Linked DNA regions of Nothobranchius furzeri. The protein of the gene in region 2 purifies or fractionates together with the protein of the main gene of each other region. This does not show direct contact. Links are inferred from orthologs where the notes say so. Each region holds a gene or a part of one and is shown on either strand. Other genes may lie near its edges.

What was found. Proteins that work in one complex are often made in the same cells at the same time.
Region 1: the proteins of fbxl17 (region 2) and zbtb10 purify together in Homo sapiens (affinity purification with western blotting; 3 studies listed by BioGRID and IntAct, with this or other methods). This does not show direct contact. The link is inferred for Nothobranchius furzeri from reciprocal best matches to the Homo sapiens genes FBXL17 and ZBTB10.

Annotation. Positions count from the first base shown.
Region 1 is NC_091759.1:557,422-561,593, reverse strand, and holds the start of zbtb10 (zinc finger and BTB domain-containing protein 10), read left to right. Parts: upstream 1-1,227; 5' UTR 1,228-1,433; coding exon 1,434-2,090; intron 2,091-2,479; coding exon of another isoform or gene 2,480-2,543; exon of another isoform or gene 2,544-2,558; intron 2,559-4,172. UniProt on the Homo sapiens protein: May be involved in transcriptional regulation.
Region 2 is NC_091757.1:53,109,639-53,113,288, reverse strand, and holds part of fbxl17 (F-box/LRR-repeat protein 17), read left to right. Parts: coding exon 1-132; intron 133-277; coding exon 278-409; intron 410-3,650. UniProt on the Homo sapiens protein: Substrate-recognition component of the SCF(FBXL17) E3 ubiquitin ligase complex, a key component of a quality control pathway required to ensure functional dimerization of BTB domain-containing proteins (dimerization quality control, DQC).

The DNA.
Region 1 (4,172 bases), on a different chromosome or scaffold from region 2:
CATGGTTTTTAATAATCTATTGTAAACCAGAAACAACCCCATGCTAGATGTTTGACCCTACAAAAACAGAAATATTGCCGAATTAGCCAAGTATGTAGTAAAGAAGAATGCCTCAGAATCCATGAGCATATGCCAGCTCAGGTGCAAATGCTGATAATAATCAAGTCTAAGAATATCAAAAATTACTAACATGCACACTTTAAATCTGATCTCTTATTCTAATCTGCTAAAAGTAAAATGTTGATGTGATGCACTTTAGGTTAGTTAGTCCAACTATCTTCCAGCCTGGTGAAAATTAACTTAGAATTGAAAAATAAGAAAAAAAATGTTCTTTTTCGCATAATTGGGAAAATAATATGACATGCACCGTGTTAATATGTAGAACATTTGTTTACTGTTGATAACTGAGAAACTGATATTGATAAATACACCCAGAAGCTGCACACAACAGCACAATTTTGAGAATTGACCTGTCATTGGGGTAAACACAGGTTTAGACCCCACTCATGATCCCACACTGCGTGTAAAATACTTTTCAAACTCTTTTCAAACTCATCAAGGATTACTTATTAACAACTGAGACTCCCATGAAAGAGTGCCACCTGCTGGAACTATGTTTAATAGACATGGAGCAGAGATACGCTTAAACAATATTTTTTTAAATCTGATTGATTCAGAGAGGATGATGGTTTACTGGGGTTAAGTAAGAGATTTGTGATTTTAAAATTGTTAAATTGTTGATGAACCCTAGCACATACTTCATGTTTTAAGTTTATTGTCGTACATTTTTATTGTATTATACCAGTAAAGGTGGTGTTTTTTAATTTGATGTCTCTGTGTAAAAGTATTACGTAAATGGATGCATTAATTTTAGTTGTGACATTCTTATTTTTGTAAATAATTGATTGTGATTTATTTGACATACAAAGACAGCATGCATTCCTGTAGGAATAGATTTATTACTTTTTGTCCTTTTGTCAAATTAATTTTGCACACAGGTAAAAATGGGGCGCTGGTTATTTAAGGTGGAAATTTAAAAAAGGAAAGCAAAATGGGTGCAGCCCAGCCTTGAAACACAAAAGCCCCCTTTAATCATCTACAGCACCCCCATCTTCCTTTAAAGCCGCCCCCACTCCCCTCCCTCCCTCTTCTCCTGTCGAGGTGCATTGTGGGGAGGAAAGTCGTTGCCATTCGACCTCTGCGGGGCCTGCGCGGACGCAGCGAGAACCCTGAAATTCATTATGCGTTTAAAACCTTTATTTATTTCCGCATAACCTACATACTCTCACCGGGAGGTTCGAGCCGAGACCAGAAACGACGGCGGTGCATCTCTTTCGAACAAATCCATCGTTTGTAAATATATTATTTTATCGTCGGAAGGGAGATACTGTCGAGAAAGTGAAGATTGTAACGTTTTGTATATTAAGGGGAAAATGTCTGGCGAGAGAAACCGCAGGTCGTTGGCTTTCCGAGGAGGTGGATTAGCTGGGTTAACGGGTTCCAGCAGCATCGGCGGGGGGAACTGTAACAGCTGGGAGGCCCCGGCCTGTCAAGATCGACATTTTAACGGGAATCGGTCGGATCAAGAGGAGGACCGGGATCTGGGAGCGAAAGGACCGTCGCAGAAGAGAGTGGAGGGCGCTGGATCTGTCAGCGATAGCACGGAACCCGAGGCGGAGGAAGAAGAGGACCCGGAAGGGGGCAGCTGGGCAGCTAGGGACGTTGAGGGGCTCCGTGGGACCAGGGAGGGCAGTAGCTGGACAGCGGGGAACGACACCAACAACAACGAAGACGGTCTGGAGTCCCGGAGCGCAGCGAGGGGTGGGGAGACGGGCTCCAAGAAATCCGGGGTAGAGATGAGACCGCAGACGCTGCTTCAGAAACACTCGCTATTCCACGCTTCGTGGCTGCAAGAATTTCCATGGCTCAAATTTAGCCAAGAGACGGGACTCATGTCTTGTTCTTGGTGCCACAACATTGCCACTAAAAACAGCGACGAGCTCGTGAAGGGCAGCCGAAATTACAAGCGGGCCTTGCTGCTGAGACATCACCTGTCTTCTGAGCACGGCAGAAATGACCCCACCAAACAGGTAACGTTAGCTGGCTTTCGTTTACCCACGTAACACGAAATACCTGTCAAGCAACCCGAAACACTATATGCCAGTACTTCTTTTGTCTCTAATGGCGTTTTAGTAAAACCAATAAAACACAACCGAAGCGAAAAATGGTCTTTTGATTTCAGCGTCGCGAGCCCTTCCTCGGGCTAATTAGTTAGCCTCCGCTTGCTAACCTGAGCTAACAGCTAGCTTAGCTTTCTAAATACTTGAGGCGTTGCTGTCTAACCAGAAGTAGATGGACAGACAGGTCGTGGGACATGCTTAAGATCGAAACCTGCCCACTTAATATTAAACGCGAAACGTTTCCTTATTGCTTTAAGGTGTTAAAGATCGTTTACTGTACGAAAGCTACAAGTACACACCTGCTCCACGACACCTGCCATCTGCACAAGAAGTGCATGTTTTACTGGCTTTGAATGTTTGCATGAGATAAACCGATCGAGTCTGGCTATGTTGGCTTGCTTTCTGGTTTCTTTGCTTCTGTTTGTAGTCATTTTAAATTGATGACTGAACGAATATTTTTTTCATATTTATACGTGATTGCCTGACTCGGATCCCTTTTTTCATGAACAGAAACGGTTAGTACTCACAAGAATAATACTTTTCCACTAAAATGCCAACCCACACTGAATTCTAAGACATTTGACAATCCCTCTATAAAAGAAGTACACTTAATAAATAACTTGCATTTGATCCACCCACACACACTGAATCAGACCATCATGGTACCAGCACCAAATGTACCAGTGCTAAGATTGTGTTGATAAGACCTTTATGCAATAAAATAGAAAATCACAAGTGTATTGTGTTAGGATTAATCATTTATTTTTTTCCTTTTGGTGTTTGAACCCATTAAGCTGACTCTCCTTTCAAAATGCACTATTGATCTCAAACAACAGTTGGATTGTTGACTCCTGTATTTAACAGTTTTGGCATCATTTATGATTGCTAGCTTGCCAGAGGTCACATGATAGCATCGGTTTGACCCTGACAGCCTTTGGGGAGCCGCACCCCTACCCAACCCCCCACCTCTCATGCGAACTCTGCTGCCTTGCAGTCATGGATGACCTCTGGTGCCGTTCTTCCTCCACAGCCACCACCTCCTCCTCCCTTTAGGGAGCTAAATTAGAGGCATTGTGCTAGAATGACCCCCCAAAATCCATAGACGGTGTCACTTGCAAGGCTGAACGAGAGGAGGAGAGTAAATCATGCTGCATGGTGGCTGAAAGCTTGCTTGCCCAGAGGCGACCCTTGGAAGGGTTGGAACCTGAATCGGTCTTCATTATTTCTAGATTTGTAGCTCTGATTTCTTTAATATATTTTCATGCAAAGATTATGCAGTTACCTTAACCCAAAGGGGTACCAAGCCACAACGGTATCCGCATTCTGCTTAAAGGCTCCAGCCAGATTTGCATTTGGAGCATGTCTTCACTGATAGGCACAAGATCTTTTTTTATCGCTTTATTAACGTTACTGCAGTGTAGACATTTCTAATGAGCTGTCTTCGTCATGAAAACAAACATGGCAGATTCGCCTGTGCGGTTTGGTGAAGATCATTTATTTTAATTCTTTGCTGCTCATAAGGCATCTCCATATCTCGACCCCATTCTGAAACTGGTCTGAGCTGTCAGGAGAATTAGGAACGGGGCCCAATTTGACTCTAATTTGTGAGCGAAGAGGATTTCACCACTACATTTAGGTCCTTCCTTTGTACACGCAATCGCTAATCAGAATGACTTAAAGTCGTCCACCAACTTGTACACATCTCTAATTGGTAAGGAGGCCTGTAGGAGTGGATTAGAGGCTTGGTGTGGCCTTTTCCCTAGTAACAAGGACCCCAGATGCCGCGTTGCTAACCATTTCCTCCTGCAGAACCCAGGAGGGTTCACATTTTCTTCTTTTATCTTTTAAAAAGCTCTTATTTTTTGTGCTGCTTCATTTAAATGAATGCTACATGTTGAATAAAATCAGAAGCTCCATGGTGTATACTAGACTGGAACAGATTAAGCAGCCCTCTAAACTCGCCTGCATTGTGAAGCAGCACATTAAAGGGGA
Region 2 (3,650 bases):
CAGAAGTACACAGCCTACCGCTGCAAGCAGCTGGGTGATAGCTCTGTGATAGCTTTGGCTACACACTGCCCTCTTCTGGTCAAAGTGCATGTTGGTAACCAGGACAAACTCACAGATGCAGCATTGAAGAAGGTGTGTTTTAAAAAAAACCACTTGTGTTTCGCCAACAAATACTTTTCTTGTTGGCTTTACTTGTTTTTAGTTTTTACAGATAAAGTATAAAGACATTTGGAGTATTTATTATGTTAGAATGATTTATTTATGTTTTTGTCATCAGCTTGGATCAAACTGCAGCGAGCTGAGGGATGTCCACTTGGGTCAGTGTTACGGCATCACAGATGAGGGCATGATGGCCTTGGCCGGAGGATGTCCCAAACTACAGAAACTCTACTTGCAAGAAAACAAAATGGTCAGTTTGCCTTTTCTTTGTCAGCTAGCCGTCTGCTCCCTGCTTTCTCCTTGTCCTGTATAAGTTCTCTTCATACAGACACAAAGGCACGCGCACGCTGGTCGGGCAATGTGATGTTGGTGATTGAATAATTAGAAAACGAATGCAGCCAAATCTGTAGGCCACGACTACACACAGTTGTTAATTGATCAAAGAATAGATTTTTATCCACCTCTGGTTTAGATGTGTCAAATAATTGACAAATCATTTTCTTTTTTGCTCTCACTCTCAGTCTTCAAAACGAATACAAAAGCACCTGATCATAGACTGATTAAAAAACAAAACAAGGAAAAACAAATTAGCTTCAGGTTGCAATGTTTCTCTTTAATAATTTTATATTTTGACAAGTTTACAGTTTAAATTAACAGTAAAGTGTAAGAAAAACTTGTGTTTTCTCTTTTATCCCCCAAAATACATGTGAAATGTGTAAAAGTTAAATTAATTTGACACAATTCAAGATATGGATTGATAAGTATGCTAATTTGTAAATTTTTACACACACTCACGCATGCACAGACACACACACACACACACACACACACACACACACACACACACACACACACACACACACACACACACACACACACACACACACACACACACACACACACACAGAGAAAATAAGTGTCTTAACTGACCACCAGATGTCATTTTCTTTTCCAAACAGCTGACCAACTGATTCATCATTGAATGCCTTTCTACTCCCAACATCTCCTCTTTGAGTGACTGCTTTGAACTTTTAAAGCTAATTAATTCATTTCTGATATGTTATTAGTAAGAAGGCAGACAAACTCCGTTTCTGTTAACACAACACCCATCTTGCTCAGCCATCTCTCTTCTATAGTCATGACTCATTCTCCATCTTACTGCACACACGTTGTGTCTTAAGGTCCAGGTGCTGCACTTCTTCACAGTTAGTCTTTTTTACCATTCTTGATATTGTGTTTTTAAATCCATTAATACGATTTATTTTAAACATTTTAAACACAGTTTGTTTAAGTTAGCATCATGGTGCGTCAAAATGTGAACAGTATCCCCCTCCCTCACAAAGCATGGCCCTCTGACAGATTTCTTCTTTCCAAACGCTCGTTATCTCCATCCTCTTTGTTTCACTAATGCATTCCCATCTTTTCCCAGCTAATATTCCTTTGGAGTCGGTGAGTAATCATGACCTTGATGAATCGGCCCAGTGTAAATTGTCAGTATTAGCTCACTTTTTTAAAACCCCATTCATCAACTAAATAGTAAAGGAAATTAGCGATTAGGGCTAGGTGAGAGATTAATATTGCTGCTGATAATATTTCAGCAGGGCCGTATCGATTTCAGATGGTGATATTTCAGATGTGCGAGGGTTGCAGTTATTTAGCTTCCCATCATTAAGGCAGAGAGGAATGGGCTGTGCTTATACAGGAATTACGTCGTGGAAAGTGGTAATCTAGTTGCCTGGCCCACAGTTCCCATTAACTTGCCAGAAGTGATGATGACGGGGAAGCCTCTTATGCTCTCTGACAGCTTGGAAGACAGTTTCAGGTTCTCCACCTTATTGCTGATTTTATAGCTTTGTGGGAAGTGGTTGAAATTGCAGTCTCCAAATGAACGTGGTGCTTTGAGATCTAAAAATATGCTTCAACGTTTAGATTTTGACACCAAATGAGGGCTAATGGCCGAGTCACATATGAGGTGTATAGCAGCAGTAGCTCAGGTGGTAGAGCGGGTTGCCTCATGATCGGAGGGTCATGGGTTCGATTCCAGCTCCCGCCAGGGGTATCCTGCTGTTGTGTCCTTGGGCAAGACACTTCAACCAACTTGCCTGTGTTAGTGGTGGTCAGAGGGGCCGACGGCGCCAAATGGCAGCCTCGCCTCTGTCAGACCTCCCCAGGGCGGCTGTGGCTACAAGTAGCTTACCTTCACTATCAGTGTGTGAATGTGAGAGTGTGTGAAAGCGTCTTTGGGTGTCTAGAAAAGCGCTCTATAAGTTCAATGCATTATTATTATTATTATAGCTGTCTTGTACTTGGAGAACCTGGTTTCACACTAAATCAGAGAGATTAGAGACCACAAGAAAGGCTTTTCTAGAAGGTTTAAATATAAGTTTGTGGGAGCGTCGTTTGGGTTCAGTGAGCTGAGCCGTGAGACGGGCTGTTTGAATGGCAAAGTCGTGGGACAGAAGTGAAAGTGTCCTACTGAGATTCTCTCCTCCCCTCTTCCTACACCACATTCTTGTGTCTGTCTGTCCTAATCAGTCACAGATGAAGACGAGCCTTCCTCTCACTTTGATCTACCCGTTTTGTCCTCTTCGTTCTACAAAATTCAATAGTTAATTCTCTTTTGGGATGTGTCTTTGTCATGTGAGCACCCACAGATGTTGCTTTTCTCATTTTTCCTGCAGGGGTTTGTTTTTGGGAGTTAAGACTATATCAGGCTTTGGAAATGCTTGAATAGCTTTTAAGAGAAGATAATGACTAAAACAAACAAATGGTTGTTGTAAGAGAATAAACTGTTAGCTGCGGTGCTCTTGCAGGATGGAATATGTAATGAAAGTAACTTTTTTCATTTTAAAGGTCTTGTTCTCTGGAAAATCATGTAATACTTGGTCTTTTAAAATCTGATCAGTTGCAGATGCATCCCAAACAAAAGTATCCTCAACTCTTGTTGCTTGCATTAGCAGCAGAAGGGGATAAAAAGGTTCAGGGTCAGATAAAGCCGATCTTTTCTCTGTCTGAGGTAAAATTAGCATTCCTTTACAACGGTGCATTCATATTGTGTCCAGGACGCGTCATTTGGATTTCTAGGATGTCCAAGGAAGATCCTGCCTTTCTCGTCTCTGATTGGCTAGAAAGGCTCTACGACGATTGGCTATTTCATTTAACAGCAAACTGGCTGTCCTCGCTGCTGACTGTGTCCTGGGGGCACAGATCATCAGTGCCCCAGACAAGCTGGTTCTCAAAGTCAGAGACTCTCTTGGTCAGCTTGCTTCTCACACCAAACCTTCCGTCAGGAATCTTGGCGTGACCTTTGACCCGGCTCTCACCCTGGATTCTCATGTCAGCTCTCTTGTTCGCTCTTCCTTCTTCCATCTCAGGAACTTTGCTAAGCTGAGTCCCATTCTGTCCCGCTCTGAACTTGAGACAGTTCTCCACACCTTCATCTCCTCACGCTTAGACTACTGTAACTCTCTTTTCACGTGTCTGAGCAGAAC